Pelodiscus sinensis: one gene and its partner. The protein of the gene in region 1 binds, or shares a complex with, the protein of each later gene. Links are inferred from orthologs where the notes say so. Each region holds a gene or a part of one and is shown in the gene's direction. Other genes may lie near its edges.

Region 1 (10,198 bases):
CTCCCAGGCTATGTCTACACTTGCACCTTCTTGTGTGAGAAATATGTGAATGAAGCTAAGTGTGGAATATCACTGAGCCTCATTTGCATACCTAATGAGCTGCCATTTTGCAGAAGAGGCTGTTGCGCCAGAAGGAGCTGTCTACACTGTCCCTTCTTGCGCAAGAAAAACCCTCTTTGCGCAATGCCGCTATGCGGATTATTTTCAGGAATAACAGCATTGCGTAAGAGGGTTTTTCTTGCGCAAGAAGGGGCAGTATCGACAGCTCCTTCTGGCACAAGAGCCTCTTCTGCAAAAATGGTGGTTCATTAGGTATGCAAATGAGGCTCAGTGATATTCCACGCTTAGCCTCATTCACATATTTCTTGCGCAAGAAGTCGCAAGTGTAGACATAGCCCTGGGGCTCCCCACTCAGAACTCCTGGGACCTGTCTGAGGGTGGTTGCCAGCCTGGAGGACACAACGGTGATAGCGCTCGGAGCAGAAAGGGGGACAATGCCCAGAACTAGGGTTGCCAGATATTTTCACAAAAAATCCTGAACATGGCAGGAAAAAAATTGGTTGATTAAAAAAACGAAGTTGCTAGGAAACTGCACCTTTAAAAATCTCTGTGCTACTTGCTTCCCCTCTCCCCCAATCACTCCCACCCAGGTCAGACAGCAGGGCTACATCTACACTGGCATGATTTTGCGCAAATACTTTTAATGCAAGAGTTTTTGCGTTAAAGTATTTGCACAAGAGAGCATCTACAGTGGCATGTGCCTTTGCACAAGAGATGTGCTTTTTGCACAAAAGCATCCGTGCCAGTGTAGATGCTCTCTTGTGCAAGAAAGCTCTGATGGCCATTTTAAACATTGGGCTTTCTTGTGCAAGTAATTCTGTCTACACTGGCCTCTTGCGCAAGAGGGCTTACCCCTGAGCTGGAGCGTCAGAGTATTTGGGCAAGAAGCACTGATTTCATACATTAGAATGTCAGTGTTCTTGTGCAAAATCTTGCCAATGTAGAGATAGCCAAACTATCAGATATTTTACATGTCCAGTATTTTTTTTTTTTAAACCAGAGGTGCCATGAATAACTGACTGTTCAGGCAAAAACAGGCCACCTGGCAACCCTATGCAGTGCCCATGGTGCCAAGCTGCCTTATGAGCTCTGCAGAGGGGCGGAGAGCAGCCCCCAACTCAGTGCTAGCCAGTACAGCGCGTAAACAAACGCCGCAGGCAGGGCACTGCTGTGCACTCGCCGGGCGCCTCTATCACTCTCCTGCCTAGTGCAAGCTGCCCTGAGAGCACGTGCCCCGCCCCGCGCCGGGCTTTTTTCCACCGGCCCCGCCGCCACTGTCGTAAGGGGGCGTGGCCTTTGCGTTTTTACACCAATAGGAAATCACCTCATCTGCATAGCGCTAATTTGTTCAATACACGCTCCTTTGCGGGGCTCACAGCACGTGGCATGTGGTTTTGGGGGCCGGTGCTTTGGGGGGGGGGCTGTGCAGAGTCCGCAGGAGCTCTACACGCCCTTGCTTGGAAGTCACCCTGAGCGAGCGCGCACTGGCAGCCGCTGGGGGCCCGCGCTCGGGCTCCTCTCCGCAGTGATTTCAGCTCTTTTAGTATTTGTCTAGCAGGCTCTCTGCGCTGCCAGGGAGCCTCACTCCGCGGTGAATGTCAGACTGGGGCCGCTCGCGCTCTGCTGGGTGTGGGCGGCGGGGAGCGATGGGGGCTCCCGGGCTGCACCCCCAGCGCGAGATGCCTCCCGCCCACAGGCCCGGCAGCGCAGCCGCGCGGCCCCTGTCCCGCCCCGTCTGCTGCGGCCCCTCCCGGCCCCCTGACGTCAGCGGCGCCGGCTCGCGCCCGCGGTCCCGGCTGGCGCCTGCAGCGCCTCATGGCTGCCCCGGCCCCCGCCGCGCCGGGCTCGCTGAGCGCCGAGCAGGCCAAAGGTGAGGGCGGGTAGGAGCCCCCGCGCGCCCCGACTTGCGCCCCCCCCCCCGCAAATCGCGACTTGCACTGCAGAGCGGGGAAGGCGGGTCCCGGCCCAGCGGCCCCGCGCCCCATTGCCCTCGCAGCGCGCTGCACCCGGGGCGGGCTGGGCGGGGCTCACTGCTCTGCCTGTCTCCCCAGTGGCGCTGGCCGAGGTCATCAAGGCCTTCGGCTCCCCGGAGAACGCGCAGCGCATGGAGGAGGCCCGGGACAACGCCTGCAACGACATGGGCAAGATGCTGCAGTTCCTGCTGCCCGTGGCCACCCAGATCCAGCAGGACGTGATCAAAGCCTACGGCTTCAGCAGCGATGGGGAAGGTGGGTTCGCCGGGCCGGGGCAGAGCCGGGCTGCGGTGGTTTCCCTTTCCGGCCTTTGTGTCGGAGGCTCCCGCCGAGGGCAGGCAGCACAAAGCGGTGTGGGCCCGGGGAAAGGGCAGTGCAAGCAGCACTTTAGTGCAGCCGTTGGACCCACATGTGCAGTATTCTCCACCTGCAGCTCCTTTGTCTGGCCACAGGATGGTATCCTTGGAAAACCTACCGGGGGGGGGGGGGGTACTGGGGAATACTGTCACCAGCTAGATCTCTTCCCAGCAGTTTTCTTCCTTCCCCTTCTTTCTCTTAGGTGTCCTGAAATTTGCCCGACTGATAAAATCTTATGAGTCCCAGGATCCTGAGATTGCAAACATGTCTGGGAAGCTAAAAGCCATGTTCCTGCCTCCAATGACACTGCCCCCACACGGGGCTGGGACAGGGGGTGTGCCTGTCTCCTGAAAACCGGGACCCTCTGCTGGCCTTCTTGGGCCAAGTCATGCCACACTACATGCCTGTGAGAGTTTTTGACAAGTGGGATTCCAGGACTGCTCTCCACCACTCATCAGTGTGCTACAGTTTGCCAGAAGAGCCCCCTACTTCTTGGAAACTCTGCAGCAATTGGTTTCTTTGTGCATCTTTGTTTTTTGAGCTTGTGAATAAAAGCTGCTTTGAAAATGTCCCCATGTGTTTCTCAGTGAGTGTGTACCCAGTCTGGATCTTAGCGCTGCTTCCTGGGAAAGAGAGCACGCCCCACTGAATGTAAGGTAGAAGGGAGCTCTGGTTACCTCTCCCCTCCCCCTTATTGGTAATCCCCTAATCTGTGTAGTTCTGCCTTCAGGAGATAAGTACCTTGCATGAGCTAAATTTAAGGAAATCAAGATGTGTGGTATGGGGAATCGCAATCTTAGGCCTGGAAGCAGAAGGCTTGAAACCAATTGACACTTTCTAAACCTCCAACCTTGTAAATCCTACAGGGAGTGCTGTAGGCCAGGACATAAGGCAGCAGAGTGAAGGGGGCTCAGGACTGGAACATCAGGCATTTGGGGTGGGGCTCCGTGTATCTCTCAACCTGTCAAGGCTCCATTGTTCAATGCAATGGCTGGGTCTAGTTTAGAAAAGTAGATTGTGTTTAAAAATATTGCAGCAGGCACTTCTTCACTAACACATTTTTACACAGTAGTTTAGGCGTGTTTAACATAGTTAGAGGGATCTTAGGGTTTACCACCGCAAGCTTACGTGTTTTAAAAGGTGTCAAACTCTGTCTTCTTAAAAGATAACATTTAACAATGCATTGTTCAAAACATATTTGCTAAGGTATTTGTAAATACAATTTAGTCTTCTAGTCCAGGCAAGGTTAGACAAACAATATGTGACAAAGACCCCAAATAAGGGGAACAATAACATATTGATGCAGGAAATTTAAGAAGTTTCACAATTATTGAGCATGAAGGTCTTTATAATTCAGGGTTGGTCTACAGTAGAAAATAAGATTGATCTAGCTATGTTGCTCAGGGATGTAACGCCCTTAACTGACTTGGTTAAGCTAACCCAAGTCCCTGTGCAGGCAGCACTAGATTGATGGAAGAATTCTTCCATCACCCTACGTAATGCCTCTCAGGGAGGTGGATTTTCTGCAGTAATGACAGAATCCCCCCATTGCTGGTAAGGGTCTACCCCAGTAAGGGGCAACCTGGGCTGGTGAGTGGGCCGCATGAGAGATCCTCCTTCATCTCAGTGGGTCACAAAATTGTCCTAACCAAGACAGTCTCCCAGGATAGAGTTGTTTTGCAAACTGCACTAATGTAACTAGAATTTGTGGGGTGTGCCGATTGAACCACAGCAGTGCTTTGGCTGGATGCAGAGAGCGTGCACAGCTCTGTCAGTGTTGTCATGTGCAGTCAGCAGACGCCTCATGTCATGTGCCCTTGCTTTTCATGCGTGTCACTTTAGTAATACGAGTAGGGAAAAAGTGTGGACGAAAACCAGCAGAATCTCAATCCTGTGTGTGGGCAACAGTAAACAAAATGGCTCATGGGCCATGCACAGAATTCCAAAGGGCCTCAAGTTGTTCACAACTGGTCTGCACTGACCCAGGACAATAGCATTTTAAATGCAGACCTCCAGGTTGTCTTCAGGGGCTGATAAAAGGGACCTGTGGTAGGAGTAATCTGTAATATTTTATGTGTAGACATAGCTTCAACTTCATGATTCTGCATTTCTGGTGTAATCACTTTTTAAAAATAAAAGGGGGCACTAAATTTGTAGGGGATGTAGGTATTCTGGGATTTGAGTGACACTGGCAGGGCTGTTTGGGGAGCTGGATTAGCAGGGGGCTGCAGGGCAGGGCTGAGGGGCACTGGCAGGGCTGTGAGGGGAGCCCAGGGCTGGAATAGCAGGGACTGCAGGGCAGGGCTGAGGGGCACTGGCAGGGCTGTGAGGGGAACCCGGGGCTGCAGGGCAGGGCTGAGGGGCACTGGCAGGGCTGTGAGGGGAGCCCAGGACTGGAATAGCAGGGGGCTGCAGGGCAGGACTGAGGGGCACTGGCAGGGCTGTGAGGGGAGCCCAGGGCTGGAATAGCAGGGGGCTGCAGGGCAGGGCTGAGGGGCACTGGCAGGGCTGTGAGGGGAGCCCAGGACTGGAATAGCAGGGGGCTGCAGGGCAGGACTGAGAGGCACTGGCAGGGCTGTGAGGGGAGCCCAGGACTGGAATAGCAGGGGGCTGCAGGGCAGGACTGAGGGGCACTGGCGGGGCTGTGAGGGAAGCCCAGGGCTGGAATAGCAGGGGGCTGCAGGGCAGGGCTGAGGGGCACTGGCAGGGCTGTGAGGGGAGCCCGTGGCTGGAATAGCAGGGGGCTGCAGGGCAGGGCTGAGGGGCACTAGCAAGGCTGTGTGCGGAGCCTAGGATTGGAAGGGCCAGGAGCTGTGGCTCAGGTGGCTATTTCCAGATGACAGAGGAGTTTAATTTGTTTTTATCCTCTGTGATACTGTTAGTTCTCCAGGGAGGCTGAAGGTTTGGTGGGGAGGAGGCAGGGAGAACAGGCAGTGCCTACCTTGCTCACCTGCTCTCCTGCCCATGTGTCTCCTCCCCCACCCGCCTATTTATTTATTAACTACCGCTCAGGGAGAGATTTGCAAGTGGTGATCTGGGAAGCCCTTTGTACTGGGCCTGGTTGCCTCAGCTCAGGCTTCCTCATCTCTCTGCTCCAGCTCACCCTCAACTATTGTGACCATGTGAGGGAGGAAGTATTAGGGCTGGAGAGTAAGCGGCATTCAGAGCCTTACTGAATGGATTAGATGCAGGTGAGTCGGGAATCTTACTAGCCGTGATCTAGGTCCAGTTACCTTTTTGTTCCTGGCTCTATGAAATTAGCTATGCTTTCCCTCTGGGTGCTACATCCACCCCCATGCCTGAGTCTGTAATGAGCTTCAGTCCTGGGCCCCTCTCTCAGGAAATTCTTCCTGTTTCCTTGGTATCAGCAGCATTGTTTGTCTCCTTTTCAGTAGGGTCCTTGGGCTGAGGGTTCTCAGCGAGGATCCCTGTGACCAGGGGCCTGATGCCATCCTGTGGGTGAGTGTATTTCTCCAAGGGGTTTCTTGGCTGTAGGGTTTGTGATGGGAGAAAGAGCTGGGAAGTGAGAGGCAGATGTGGGGAAAGCAGCAATGGAGAGGGTGGGCAAGGGGGCTATAGGAGAGATGGGGGTCAGTACTGCTCACCCTAGCAAAAGTAAAGCTCGTTTGTTCCAAGGCACAGATGGGAAGGGACTGGCCCTTGTCCTAAAGCAAATCAAAGACAAAGCCATAATTTTGCCAGAGGCCAGGCCTCTCCCCACTTTAATTCACTGGCCCTGCTCCTCCTCTGGAAATGGAGCCCAGGAGTTTGGGCACTCGCCAGACATATTTGCTGTGCAGACTTCAGCAGACAGCACTGCAGGAAAGCACCTTCAGAAAGCTTCCTCTACAGCCAAGAGGGCTGGCAGCTGAATTGTTTAGAAACAGCTGCTGAAATTCTGTAATCTGCAGAAGGGTGTGGGTTCCACAGTGTCACGAATCATGGGGTCCCCTCCACATGGCTCCCAGGCTGACTTCTAAACCAGGATCAGTACCGCAAGAAATTAAAGTGCTGTAGAACTGTCAGAAGGGAATGAGGAGCCTTAATGAAGTCTCCTCTCCCTAGCTGCTCCCATGCCCATGGTACAGGAACACTGAGGCATAGCTCCAGTGCTGTCTTCCTGGCTGTCTTCCACTAATGTCCTTTCTCATCTGGAGGAAGGTCCAGGCAGAGTATGAACATAGGTAGCAATTGCCAGATCTGGTCTGTCCAGTTCAGTCTCCTGTCTCTGACAGTGGCCACAGTCAGCTGTGTTGGATGAAGGTGCAGAAAACCCCTTAGTTTATTGTTCAATAATGTGTTTCCACGAGGGGTTTCTTTCTTATCCATCTTGGTTCCTGGGTTATGATCAGAAGCAGGAGACATTCTATCCTTCTGTTTTCTCTGATCAAAAGTAAGTGTGAGGGTTCTGGTCATTCATATAACGTTCAGTCCTTTTATGAATCCTGCTATGCTCATCAAGCGGGGAACGAGGGGGCAGTTGCCCCCGGGCGCAATGCTAGAGGGTGCCAATTTAGTCCCCCTCTGTTCCCCCTGTCGTCCCTCAGCTCTCCTGCTCCTCCTCTGCCCACCGCCATTGGTTGGAGCCTCCTCTCCACCCCTAGCCTCACCTTCCTCCATGTCTGCCGATGGGTTAGTGTGTCTAGGGGCCTGGCCCCAGACGAGGGCACAGGGGAAAACACGGTACAAGCTCCCCCCCCGCCCAGGGTCGGGCTCAGTTGTGCACCTGATTTGGGGCCCCGCCGGGCAGAGGGGTGTGTGGGGTAATTTTGCTTTTGCCCCCGGGCACACAGCACCCTCACTCATGGGGTCAGAGAGACAAGGTGAGTGAGGTAATATGTGTTACTGGACTAGTTTCTGTTGGAGATAGAAGCAAACTTTTGAGCTGCTTTGCCAGAAGAGGAAACCTAAATGAAGTGCCAATTAGCATTTTCTCATGCTTCATTTGTGTAATCTCTTCCCATCCATTTTTGCACAAGAGGTTTTTGCACAAAAACATGCAGTGTGGACGGGGAGAGGCATAAGGATCTTGTGCAAAAAGGGTGTTTTGTGCAAAAAGGAAACGTCCACGCTGCATGTTTTTGCGCAAAAACCTCTTGCACAAAAACGGATTGGAAGAGATTACACAAATGAAGCACAAGAAAATGCTAATCAGCGCTTAATTTACATTGCCTCTTCTGGCAAAGTGCATAGTGTAGACGTAGCCCCAGTGTATACAGTGCTAGATCCACAGGAGAATTCTCCTGTCAACCCAGCCACTGCTTTTCTGGGAGATGGAATACGTATGCTGAGAAGAGAACTACAACCCGCTAACATAGGTAGCGTCTTTCTTCACTAAAGTGCTACAGTGGCAAAGTGACATGACTCAGAATTAAAGACTAGACAAGACCTAGAGAGAGAGATTTACTACACTGACAGAAAAACCCCTTCTGCCACTGTAGAATTTTCCCGGTGAGTGCTCCCATGGGGTTGGGCCTGTTGACGGAAGTGGCCACTGCAGCGGTGCTGGCAGTGTAGACATGGACTTTTTTTCATCGATGTAGATTAGCGGTTCCCAACCTTTTCCAGAGGGGGACCCATTCCGACAATTCAGGAAGACTTGGTGACCCAGGGCAATTCACAAAAAGTCTCCTGGGGAGACACCTGGTGACCCTTTTGAAATGTAATGGTGACCCATAGGTTGGGAAACCCTGATGTAGATAATAGGCAATTTGGGGCAGAGGCTGTACCTGTGTCTGATATGAACGTGTTGCCTAGCGCACTGCACTCCCAGTCTCTAGTCGCTGCCATACTGCTGCTGTGCCAGGTCTCTTTCTTGTCTCCTCTTACCTGTTACTTCTCTGAGCAGTCCCAGTCTTTTCAGACGTGAGAGAGTAGCTAGAGCAGAGCGCAGCATTGCAAGTGAGGGCAATCCCACTGATTGGCGTGACAGCACTGGGATAGGACCAGTATTTTTCTCCAGTCCATTGGGCTGTATCTTATAGCTTTGCTTCATGCTTTGATGGCTTCTGCCCACTAAGCAGAGGTTTTCATTGAGCCTCCGCAAGGACACCTGGATTGCAGTTAATTTCAGTCCAGTTAGTTCAAAAGGATCTCACAAAATGAGTGACTGCTCAACAAAATGGCAGATGAAATTCAGTGTTGATAAATGCAAAGTAATTCACACTGGAAAACCTCATTCCCTAGCTATCCATTGCAAATGATGAGGTCTAAATTAGCTATTACCACTCAAGAAAAAGATCTTAGAGTCATTGTGGATAATTCTCTGAAAACATCCATTCAGGCTATATCTACACTACAGGGTTTTTGCGCAGAAACCCACGGAGCGTCCACACCTCAAGCAGGAACATGTAGGCAGCTGGAAGCAAATGCTGCAGGAACTGCAGCATGGCCGTGTGGGGCTGTCACCTGCCCAGGGGCAGTGCCCACTCTATAGCACACACCAAGCAAAAAGCTGTGGTGTCCCCAAAAAGAACAGGGCAACCACAGCAGGCACTGCTGAAGCTTTGCTGTCCCTCAACAGAGGTCCACAAGCAGGCAGCAGAAACAGAGAAGTGGCTGTCCAGGGGGATCCTTTAAGCATGTGTCGTAACCTAAAGCCTAGCTAGAACTGGTTCCAGGTGGCTTTATATGTGAAAAAGCATCCAGTGAGTGTGGACGCTCTCTTTCACAAAATTGCATCACTTTTTCGATTTCGATGCACTTTTGCAGTGTGGATGCGCTCTTGCACAAGAAGTTTTTGCAGAAGATCTCTTCAGTGAAAAGCTTCGTGCACAAGAATCCTGCAGTCTAGATGTAGCCTCAGTGTGAAGTGGCAGTCAAAAAAGCGAACAGAAGTTTGGGAATCATTAAGAAAGGGGTAAGAATAAGACAGAAAGTACCTTAGTGCCTCTATAGAAAGCAATTAAATCTTTAATACTGTGTGTAGATGTGGTTGCCTCATTCAAATAAAGGTATATTGGAATGGGGAAAGGTTCAGAAAAGGGCAACAGAAATGATGAGGAGTATGGAACAGCCACAGGAAAAGAGATTAATAAGACTGGGACATTTCAATGTGGAAAAGATATAACTAAGGGGAGATGTGATGGAGGTGTATAAAATCATGACTGGTGTGGATAAGTAGATAAGGAACACAAGAAGTAGGAGTCACCAAATGAAATTAATAGGCATCAGGTTTAAAACAAAACATAAGGAAGTTTTTCTTTACACAGCGCACAATCAGCCTGTGGAACTCCTTGCCAGAGGATGTTGTGAAGACCAGCACTTTAACAGGGTTCAAAAAGAACCATAAGTTCATAGCCATTGCTGGACCTATCATCTATTGGGCAGGATGGGCAGGAGTGCTGTCCCTATTTGCCAGAAGCTAGGAATGGGCAATAGAAGATGTCTTGCTTCTATGTCTTGCTGCTTTCACTCTTATTCAAAGGTCAGCCTGCCTGAATGGACTCTCATAATATCCATGCTTAAATGTCCTCCGTTATGAACTTGAAGATCTTAATTGCTTTACTTTTGACCTAATGGCCCCAATGACTAGTATCCTCATTTATTTTTAAACTTTCTTTACTGTCACTGTGCCAGTTTTCGATATAGGCTTGATCCAGGAATCACTAGGTGAAATTCTCTGACATACGTGAAACAAGTAGGCAGACTAGATGAGCATACTGGTCCCTTCTGACCTTGGAATCTATGAAGACCATGAGAATGGCCATACTGAGTCAGACCAATTGTCTCTGTCTAGCTTATTATCATGTCTCCAATAGCAGCCAGTACCAGAGCTTCAGTGGGAGTGTACTGAACAGGAGAGATCC
Region 2 (11,109 bases), about 2.7 Mb from region 1:
GGCCCCTGGTTGGGAGGCTCTGGAGCAGGCCTGCTGCAGGTCCTTAATTTTGCAGTGGACCTGCTCCTGGATCCGTATGTGGCCTCTGGCGGCCAGGCTGGCGGCCATGTGGCTGTAGAAGGCCGTGTTCCTGTGCCTAGTGAGGGTCGTGGACGTTGGAGGCCTCCCCCCAAACCTCAGTGAGGTCAACGATCTCCACACTAGACCAGATGGGCGCCCGCCTTTTGCAACTCTGTGCAGGGTCCTGGGAGCCGTCAGCCTGGTCCTGGGAAGAGGCGGAGGGCTGGGTGGCATCGGGTGGCTGGCTCATCTTGTGCCAGGTGCAGGGTCTGCTGGCTGGGTGCTGGCAGGCTTGCAACTGGCACGAGCACCGTAGCCAGCCCGTGCCCCTTTAAGGGTTCCTGTGCTGGGAGAGGGCAGAAGAGTCTCCCTGGTTTGGCCCAGAATGGGCTACACAGACCTTAATTCAAACTACTTAATTCGAACTAGGTGTTAGTCCTCATAGAATGAGGTTTACCTAGTTCGAATTAAGCACTCCACTAGTTTGAATTAAATTTTGAAATAGCGGTTTGCATGTATAGCCACTATTAAAGTTAATTCGAACTAATGGCTGTAGTATAGACATGCTTCGTGACATACCCTATGACTTGGTCAGAAGTCAGGCCAAGCAGTCTGTAAGGGTATGTCTACACTAGCCACTTCATTGCAGGAGGAGTAACAGTTAATCCAAACTAAGGACTTAGTTTGGATTAACTTCTGACTGCCACGTGTAGCTGCAGGCAGTCAGTTTGAACTAAGGAGATTTTAAAATGACGCCTGCCTGGGAACATGCAAATGAAGCCCGGGATATTTAAATCCCAGGCTTCATTTGCAAGTTCGAATGCCTACATTAACCACCCTAGTTCGAACTAGGGGTCTCGTGTAGACATACCCTGGGTCTCTTTAAAGAGGCAGGCTATTAAAAGAAATATTTGAAGTGAAAGGGGCTAACCACTCCTGTGCCAGATGTAGATGAATCCTATTTCTCTATTAAAACACATGGCTCAGAGCCCTTACATCTGCCAGTGGTTCTACTGCAGTCACAGATCACCAGGCCCAGGTACTTACCATTTCCTGGGCAGCACAGATCTATAGTAGACATGATCCTTCTGCAGATTTCAGGACAGAGCACACTGTACCTGGACACCTTTCACTAGAGGATCTCATGCTCAAAGGAACCCAGTATAAGAGGCTGCACATCTACTCTATCTTGGTCTTGGTTTGTTATAAATTAATCCTTCCAGTGGGTCTGAAATAAAAAATTAATACCTACAGATGTGTCTTGCTTCATCCTACAATGTGCCTTATTATGCACTACAATTACAGGGAGAAGTGTTTTTCTGACACTGCTTAGTGTGCTCACTGGGCACTTAGGACTTTATCAGCATGAGCCAAGGACATTTTCTGGCAAAGTGCTGCAGGCAGTGCACATTCCCAGCCCAGCTCTGTTCTGGTGCAACTAAATCAACACTTAAGCTTTGAAAACTCCTAAATGGCAAGAGCCCAGACCAGACCACCACATTCAGGGTATGTTTTTCTCTTATCAGCCCTGAAAGCAATGTAATGGTTTGGATAGTTATGTTGATAAACCTAGACACCAGGAAGGGCTGTTATTGGATTGGAGAAAGGCTTTCTGTGATTGAGGAGCCAGTAAGGGAAACTGAGGCCACAGCACCACCCTTGGCCTCTAGGGGAAACTTAGAAGGCAGCCCATCCTTCTACACTGCTTGGATTGGAGGGAAAACTGGTATCTCCAGCAACTCACAGTTCATGCACCAAGTTGTCTCAGCCCTTTCCTGGGTCTCATGTGTCCTCTCTCACCATGGAAGGAGAAGAGAACTCCATGGGAGCATGGCTGTCTCAGTCAAGTGGGCAGTGTAGCATGACCTCTCCTTTCAGCACAGTGCACTGTTGCCCCCAGGAGACCCCACTGGCCCACAAGGGAAATGCAGCCACTATTAAATCCTCCTTCTCTTTCATTACTTGACTTATGGAGAAAGCCTCATGTCCCATGCAGGCCTTGGACAACTTCCCCATTATTGGAATTTCTTTTGTGTAGCCTGAAAGGAGTGGACTAGGTCACATGACCTAGCAGGAGGGCCAAGCCACACATGGGTTGGAGAACAGCAAAACCAAAGTGGCTACCAACAGGAGTGCCAGGAAAGAAGAGACTCTGCCCTGCCCTGCCCTGCCCTGCCCTGCCCTGCCTGATTACTGGGTGATGCCTGCAGGGAGAAATGCCCTTCACAGCTTGCTGTGTCCATGGTCAGGTAGATTGGTTTGTACTTGTGGCATGATCCAAATCAGGCTGAGAGTGGGAGATTGGTTTTAGCTGTGGAGGAGCAATGACAGCTCCAGTTCTTTGGCAAGTGATAGAAATGTAGCCGTGTTAGTCTGGTGTAGCTGAAACGTAAGACAGGACTATATAGCACTTTAAAGACTAACAAGATGGTTTATTAGGTGATGAGCTTTCATGGCCAGACCCACTTCCTGAGGTCAAATCGTGGACAATTGACAATTTTTTGGCCCACGAAAACTTCTTTGGCAAGAGCAGTGATATAAGCTGTGCAGGAGAGTGCTTTGAAACATGGCACAACCCATGTGGGTGAGCTTGTGTGTCTGCAACTAGGGTGAAGTTCACTGTTCTTGAAAAGACTTGAAGGGAAGTGATGTAACAAAGAGCTCTGTCCCAACCTCTCCCCTGGAAGGACCACCCACTGACTGCCCTCTCAGACCTACTTTCAATCCCATCTTGCCAGACAGAAAGTATACATGCCCACAGCACCCTAAGTCCTCTCCCATCCAACGCCGCTCGACTGTTTTAGTCTCAGATATTCATTTTTCTTTTGATTAAGATTTTCTTTTCCCCAAAATATAATAGCTGTCAGATGGTATCCAGACAGACATAGCTACCACCAGGGCTGGCCCAAGCCCTTTTGGTGCCCTGGGCACACGGCACATGTGTGGGCCTGCCTGTGGGGTGCAGGCCCACCCCCTCAGGGTGTGCGGGCCCGTGCGCACAGCGCATGCGTGGGTCAGCCATGGCCAGGCCGTGCAGGGCCCCGTGGCCATGGGGGGAAGTGAGTTGCTGGCCAGTGCCACGGGGCCGGCACTACAGGAGCCAGGCGCGTGGCACCTGATGGCAGCTGTAAGGGATGCTGTGCGCCCCTTATAGCTGCCATCAGGTGCCCCCCATTGGTTGGCGCCCTGGGCAGCTGCCCGGCTCGCCCATGCCTCTGTCCAGTCCTGGTTACTACAATGGGGGATAACACAAAGGTCTAGTCCATACGGAAGGGGAAAGTCGACTTAAGATTCGCTACTCCAGCTACATTAATTACGTCGCTGGAGTGGAAGTATTTTACATCATATTTTGGCGCCATCCACACAGCGGGAGGTGGATGGGAGCACACGCTCCCTTTGACTTCCTTTGCTCCTCATAGGAGTAGGACTGCTGGTGCCAATGGGGGAGCCCTCTCAGTTCCAATTAGCACATCTTCACTAGACCCATTAATTCAATCCCTGGAAGATCAACTGCATAGTATAGCGTAGACAAACCCAAAGAGCATCCAGTATTGTGCCGCTACAGACTCATTTGCATTCTCCTCTCCAGACTGCTTCATAGACCAAAAGTCCAGCACTCACCCAATCATTGCAGTAGCTTTGTTACAAATGTTCCAGCATATGAATAAATAAGGCTGGTAATGTCTGAAGCCCTTTTTTCTGGAAAAGGGGAAAAGTTTTTGAGGAAGTAATGGAAAAGTCAGTTAGACAAACTGGGAACAGGCTGTCATGAGTGGGGCCTGTACAGTCTAATCTAGTAGTCAGAGCAGACGTCAGGAGTCAGACCAGATCATTCCAGGAAGTCAGAGTCTGATGCAAGCCAGAAAGTAAAACTGAGAGTCAGACAGGGTGAAGATTCCGGGAGTAGCCGAGTTAGTCTGTTACAGAAAAAAACAGCAAGCAAATGGTCTGGTAGCACTTTATAAACTAACAAAACATGTAGATGGGATCATGAGCTTTCGTGGGCACAGCCCACGAAGTTACTAAAGCAGCTTGAAAGGGAGGCTGCAGAACTGAATTTAATGTACAAGTCTGATCCCTGCAACAGAGGTCTCAACAAAGACCTTGCTTGGATGACATGCTACATTCCACATTCTAATGACATAAAAAGCCAAGACCAAGACCAAAGCCAAGGCCAAGACCTTAAATGTATTTAGTACCCTCTCTATCAGCTTCATTTAGCATGGACTCTCTAATTCACAATTTCCCCCCTTTTTTGCCTTCTTTTTCCTTCTCTTCCCCCTCAATTCCCTTTCTTACTCCATTATTTATTTGGAAACTGGACTTCTTGCTCCATTCATCTGAAGAAGTGGACTGAGCCCATGAAAGCTCATCATCAAGCTACAAGTCTTGTTAGTCTCTAAGGTGCTGCAGGACTATTTGTTGTTTTTAAAGTTTTTTCAGTTACAGACTATCATGGCTCCCCCCCCCCCCCCCCAGACTTTAGATCAGTATTAGGTAGGTACAAAAGGAAAAGTCCTGAGAAGGAAGAACCCAGTTGTTTGGGTTAAATAGAGATTACAGACCAAACAGGGCTCCCAGCATTCCACCAATCAGATCCCAGGACATGCGACTTCTGTCAAAGTTCAGCTGCTATTCGGGAAACTGGTGACTGGATGCTGTATGGTAAATCATGGGTGCCTAGTACCACCGAGTCCTGTAAACCAGGGTTTAAGCCCCCTGGTTTCAGACACAGGATCCAGAAAAGATGTAATGGAGAAATGCTTGGTTAGGGTTAGTGGTCTACTTAATTGCAGAGAAACACTTTTCAGGTCTTGGTCACCGCACAAACAGCAAATTTTGCATATGAGTAACATACCTGAAAAATTTGCTATTTATGACATCATCAAAGCACAAAAAATATGTGATTCCTCAAACTAATAGCTGGGCTCCAAAGGCACAAGTCTATATGGGGGTCCTGGTATTGGTGTGTGTTATTGCCATGTGGAGGTCATGGTATTGCTTCTGTGCTCTTGCTGGCGGCAATGCTGACAGCAGCTGGGGGCAGGAGGCAGCAGCTGATGCCCAGGCACCCAGCTCTGAAGCTGCAGAGAAATAAGGGTGGTACAGAACTGACTTCAGAACTGAGTAGCTGGAGACCAGATTTCACTATCCATGATGCCATTTTCACAGCTTCAAATGTGATAGACCCCTAGTTATGGTTCAGGCAAAGACTAGAGATAGAGTTTTTCTTATTTCAATTTCATCCTCTTGCAGATAATCCAAGTGGCTTGGCCATAGTCCACAGGTCCACGATAGGTGGAGCCCTGCAAACCTGTGGATATCTGCTTTATATCCATTGGTATCATTTCTGCAGATATTGATGTGGATACAATTTTGTATCTGAAACCCTGCAAGTTTGCAGATATCTACTTTATATTCACAGATCACTTTTGCAGATTCAGATGTGGGTGAGGATACCAATTTTGTATCCATGCAGGGTTCTGAAGATAAATCCAGGTCTCCACTAGGCTACACTTGCGTCCCTGATAATGCAAGTAGGAAACATGAGCAGGGATTTCAGGCTACACTCTGATCTCATTTATGGAAGTATAAATACGAAGTGAATATATTCACCTAAATGTGGGTTTACACCAGAGTAATTAAAAAAAAGATTCTTGCCCCACGTTTTAAGAAATGCAGAGATACTAGCTAATCATTGATTGCTTAGACAACACTACATTTAATATTTAAGTGTCCTGAAGAAGATTAATTTAATAGGTAAACCTACAAAGAGAGAAGTTCCTGTGAGCGCTTAGTGAGGGGGCATCACATTTCAAACTAGCAGAGTGGAAACTTCCTGTGCAACTTTCAGATGGAGCATTGCAGAGCGTACAATTCTTCTCCTCCTGGTTCCTGTTGTCCATCTCTTTGAAAGCAGTGACGGGGTGAAACCAGATTGTCTCTCTCAGAAATATTTGTGGCGCACCTAAGTCTAGTTCCTGCACTCCAGTTTCCTATCAAAGAGAGCTCCAAAGGTATGAGAAGAACATTTTGTTGGGGTGATGGGGATCTTCATTGTTAGAGCATGTAGTTGTTGAAAGAGGTATAGTTTATTACTTTGGTATACTTCAAGGAATGAATGGAATTAGTCTGAAACAGACATGTGTTTGCAAATATTGTCTGTTTACAATATTTTTCTTCTCACTTAAATTTAAGAGTGACAGTATGGAATAGAGAACCATTTCCTTACTGGTATTGGTATTAAGTGACTGTGAAAGGATTTATTATTGCAGGCAAATCAGCATTTAAATTCTAAATTTCTGTATTTTATGCATCTCTGGTGCAGTGTATCTACTATATCCTTGAGGGAGTTTGCCTGTGAGCAAGCAAGCAAGTCTGTCTGTTTGGCTGTGTGTTCAAGAACTCCTTCTAAACAATTAAGAGCTAGGACCACCAACTTTGGTAGGCAGCTTCCTCTTACCCTAACTTAAAACAAGGTCAGTTTGGTTGTGCCAGGACATTGGGGTGTGCCTGGAATGCAATTGTTTTTCATACCATAAAAAGGGAGGGGATTGCTAGCAGGAACACTTATACTCTGTAATGATCACAAGAAGGCAGCAAGGGGCCAGAGATGGAGATGGGGACAGCTATAACTTCATCAGGACAGCAGAGGTCAGGGGTGGAGATAAGCTTCCCACTCAACCCCCAGCCAGTGTGGCCCTCACTGCAGCCAGCCCCATGGAGCTGCCACCCAGACAACATGGCCCTCACTGGCTCCTGAACTGGCTCCTCAGTCCCCTGCCTTGAGCCCTTCCTCATTCCCCAATGGTGACTGCAGCACCCACACATCCTCCAAACTCATGCCCTGAGCTCCTCCTCAAATCCCAAACCTGACTCCTACACCCCCTATACACACACCCAGCTCCCTGCCCTGAAGGACCCAATCAACACCAGAGAAATCTTCCAGTAGGACAACCTAGAAAAACAGTATAAGCTGAGGAAAACCAGAGATATATCTTGATTTTTTGTAAGGAATTTGATAGTGTTTCCCAAGAAATCTTACTTGGCAAATTAATTCAGATAATCTTGAATGTGAACATTATAAATGAATAAAACATTGTTTGAAATATTGTGAACCAAAGACAATGCTAAGTAAAAATGGACTGAGATTAATGGTAAGATCTTTATTATTTATCATCTTCAGAACTATATTGGAAACTGAATTATATAGCCTTCTAATGTAATCAAAATTAATGATTTTAAATGGAGGGGTGTTGCAAACACAAGATCAGACAGATAACACAGACCTACTTGGAAAGTTTAGCAAAGTGAGCACAAAATAATGTTAAAACTGTTACAGCAGATGTAGTAATCCAATACATGGCTATCCAGTGATAGGGAGAAATGAAACCAGTAATGATGAAAGTAACCTAGGAGTTAGAGTGGATAGCAGATCAGACATTTTGCAAAAAACTAGCTAACAGTTTAAGCATTGGAAGGTGCTCTGATTATAGGTCTGTGTCTCTATGGCCCCGATGAGTGTGGTATTCTTAGTGCATTTTCAATTTAGTGCACTGCCATTCTGAGTCATTATTTGAAGCTTTTATTATTTACTAGCATTACCCATCCCGTTGTGACAGTAGACGTACACTCAGGTTGGCCTGGCGCAGGGGGGCAAAAGCAGACCTAGCTGCCATTTTGCCCATAAAGGACCCATTGCTGCCATGGCCGTGTCCTCGCTGCTCTGCCCCCACCTCGCACTGCCCATGCACACCGTGCACTCACACCCACTGGAGAGCACCGGGTGCAGCTGGAGTTGGTTATCCAGGTGCCAGCGGGCTGTATCCTGACCAGCCTGCTGGCTCACAGCACTCCTGGCAAGGCGCGGCCTCCATTCCACGCTCAGCCCATGGGCTGCTAACTTAGCTGAACCAGTCTGAGGGGGAGGAGGGAGGATTTCAGGGTCACAGCAAGGGGAGGCATTTCGGGGCCAGGTTTGCAAGCATGGGGCATGGCGCAGTACTGAGGGGTTGACTCAGGTATTTAATGGGCTGCTGGGGGGAGTGGAGTGCCTAGGCTCACACCAGGAGGGGGCTGGATTCTGGCAGTTGCTTGGGTGACGGGACCTCTCAGACCCCACTTCAGTGTGAGTCCCCCCACGCCTGCTGACCATACAGCAGAGCAACCTCGCCCAAGTCCCGGCGCACTCAAGGTGGGCAAGAGGGACTGGGCAGTGACACAGGAGTGGCGCGCAGGTTGCACTGCCCGGGAGGGGTGTGCGCCATTACTCGGCAGTGGCTGGTTGGTCTCTGGCAACTCGGTGGGAAAGTTAAAGGCGCACAAAGTGCCTGAGCTGCACCTTCCTCCTCCCCCTCCCAATGCATGGCATCTTGTGACATGTCAGAGGCAGGGGAGTCTCGTGGGAAGTCTGTTCTCTGTGACAGAGGTCATGACGGATGCCTCTCCTTTTATAGCAGTACAGATTTGTTGAATGCCTACTGTGTAGCTGGCTGAACAGAACACAGGGACATGGGTCAAGATGTTCAAAAAAAGGGTACTAAAGGTAGCCTCCTAAATTCATAGTAGGCCTCTAAAAAGTAAATTCATGCTTAAACATACTGAGCACCTGTTGGTTCCCTCCAAGTCTATGGCTGCTATCGGGAGCTCAGCACTTCTCAAAACTAGGATACGTAAATAGGCACCTCCACACAGAATAGGAAGCCTAATTTTTATCCCTCATGTATGAACATTTTTGCCATGGACCCTGTCCCATAGATTTAGATAAATAAGGCTGCATCTAGATTGGCATGATTTTGCGCAAAAGTGACTGCCTGTCTACACTGGCCACGAGTATTTGCGCAAGAACACTGCCTTTGTAATGTACAAAATTAGTGGTTCTTGCACAAATATTCCGATGCTTCTGCTCAAGGATAAGCCCCCTTGCGCAATATACTTGTGCAAGAGGCCAGTGTAGAAAGCCACGTTAATTTCTGGCGCAAGAAAGCCTGATGGTTAAAATGGCCATTGGAGCTTTCTTGTGCAAGAGAGCGTCTACACCGGCACGGATGCTTTTGCACAAAAGCACATCTTTTCCATTAAAAGTATTTGCGCAAAATCATGCCAGTCTAGACACAGCCTAAGTGTTTAAAAAATAAAACAGAAAGTAGTGGGCAGATGGAAGGCATTCAGAAGATGCATTTTACTAAAGGGCCTGGAGGGACTAGCTTCTAAAGAAAGACTGAAAAACTGTGTGTGCAATGAACTTTGTTCAAGCCATGACTAAAAGGCGATACACAATTACTGCCTAGAAATACTGACAATGTGTCTGCACCTAGAAGCCAAATGGACTGTTCAGGGTGGTGTGAAATTGAAGAAATAGATGTAAAGCAAGAGTTCAGACAAAAGAATTTCCCAAGGTAGATGGTGGAAATCCCTTGACATGCAAGATTAGAAATGAGCCTGGATAAAGCCATGCAGAGAACCCTACAAGATGCTTAAGAGAGTAAGCTCCAGGCTGAGTACAGTGCAGGGCTGCTGTATCCACCATGCATGAGGTGGGGAGAGGGCCCTGTTTCACCAGCTAGGGAAGGGAAGCAATCTCCAGACCCAAGTTGCTTTTCATACCCTGCTTTGTTCTATATCACTATGGGAACAAACAACGCTAAGAAAAAAATCTCACCTGAAAATACTAGTCACAAGTCCTGGGGGCTTCCCTGCTTTGACCAGCCAGGGGGAAAGAGGAAACCTTTCCTTCCTGACTATCTGCACGCTGCTTCCTGAACTCCCTGGCATGTGAGAGGCAGGGATCCTTTCCCCATTCCAGACTACTGCTGTGTCCTTGTCACAGACTCCCAAAGGATGCATTATGCCAGATGTACCCAGAGCTGTCACGGAGCAGAATGCAGTCCCAGGGCTCTGCCTGTCTGGACTCAAGGAGCATTGTGCAATCAAGGGGAAGAGCAGGTGGAGGAGGTGCACATCTCAAATGGCCATTCTTGGAGCACTGATGCCTACTGGGGATCAACCAGTTAAGTAGTAGTTCTGCAGAAAAGGACCTGGGGGTTACAGTGGATGAGAAGCTGGATATGAGTCAACAGTGTGCCCTTGTAGCCAAGAAGGCTAATGGCATATTAGGTTGCATTAAGAGGTGCATTGTCAGCAGATCCAGAGATGTCATTATTCCCCTTTATTCGGTTTTGGTGAGGCCACATCTGGAGAATTGTGTCCAGTTCTGGGCCCCCCACTACAAAAAGGATGCGGAAGCATTGGAGAGGGTCCAGCGGAGGGCAACCAAAATGATTAGGGGGCTGGAGCATATGACCTACGAGGAGAGGCTGAGGGACTTGGGTCTGTTTAGTCTGCAGAAGCGAAGAGTGAGGGGGGATTTGATAGCAGCCTTCAACTTCCTGAAGGGAGGTTCCAAAGAGGATGGAGAGAGGCTGTTCTCAGTAGTGACAGATGGCAGAACAAGGAGCAATGGTCTCAAGTTGTGGTGGGAGAGGTCCAGGTTGGATATTAGGAAAAACTATTTTACTAGAAGGGTAGTGAAGCATTGGAATGGGTTACCTAGGGAAGTAGTGGAGTCTCCATCCCTAGAGGTATTTAAGTCTCGGCTTGACAAAGCCCTGGCCGGGTTGATTTAGATGGGATTGGTCCTGCCTAGAGCGGGGGGCTGGACTTGACGACCTTCTGGGGTCTCTTCCAGTTCTATGATTCTATGATAAGGGGATGGTTGGATGAAATAACATGATCTTGGTAACTAATTGACCATTCATTATCAGTTGGAAATAGGTCAATGGTGGGATGATAGGAGTTGCTATAGGGAACTTTCTGGGTGTCTGGCTGAGGAGTCTTGCCCACATGCTCAGGGTTTAGCTGATCGCCATATTTGGGGTCGGGAAGGAATTTTCCTCCAGGGTAGATTGGCAGAGGCCCTGGAGGTTTTTCGCCTTTCTCTGTAGCATTGGGCACAGATTACAGCTGAAAGACTCTCTGCATGTTGGGTCCTTCAAAGTATTTGAGGGCTTCAATATCTTTGATATAGGTGAGAGGATTATTCTAAGAGGG

What was found.
Region 2: the proteins of PTPN6 (region 1) and NKG2-A/NKG2-B type II integral membrane protein-like are in contact, whole or in part, in an NMR structure (PDB 2YU7), measured with the Homo sapiens proteins. The link is inferred for Pelodiscus sinensis from reciprocal best matches to the Homo sapiens genes PTPN6 and KLRC1. Residues at the interface, in NP_002822.2 of Homo sapiens: Gly117, Gly118, Glu121, Arg136, Ser138, Leu139, Ser140, Val146, Thr165, His166, Ile167, Lys168, Val178, Gly179, Gly180, Leu181, Glu182, Ile199, Glu200, Glu201, Ala202; in NP_002250.2 of Homo sapiens: Ile38, Thr39, Tyr40, Ala41, Glu42, Leu43, Asn44, Leu45, Gln46, Lys47.

Annotation. Positions count from the first base shown.
Region 1 is NC_134711.1:138,128,959-138,139,156, reverse strand, and holds the start of PTPN6 (tyrosine-protein phosphatase non-receptor type 6), read left to right. Parts: upstream 1-5,426; 5' UTR 5,427-5,581; intron 5,582-5,782; 5' UTR 5,783-5,835; coding exon 5,836-5,849; intron 5,850-10,198. Other genes in the region: C1H12orf57 (protein C10), read left to right, coding at 1,876-1,930, 2,112-2,288, 2,593-2,741. UniProt on the Homo sapiens protein: Tyrosine phosphatase enzyme that plays important roles in controlling immune signaling pathways and fundamental physiological processes such as hematopoiesis.
Region 2 is NC_134711.1:135,404,077-135,415,185, forward strand, and holds the start of NKG2-A/NKG2-B type II integral membrane protein-like, read left to right. Parts: upstream 1-5,942; 5' UTR 5,943-6,077; intron 6,078-11,109. UniProt on the Homo sapiens protein: Immune inhibitory receptor involved in self-nonself discrimination.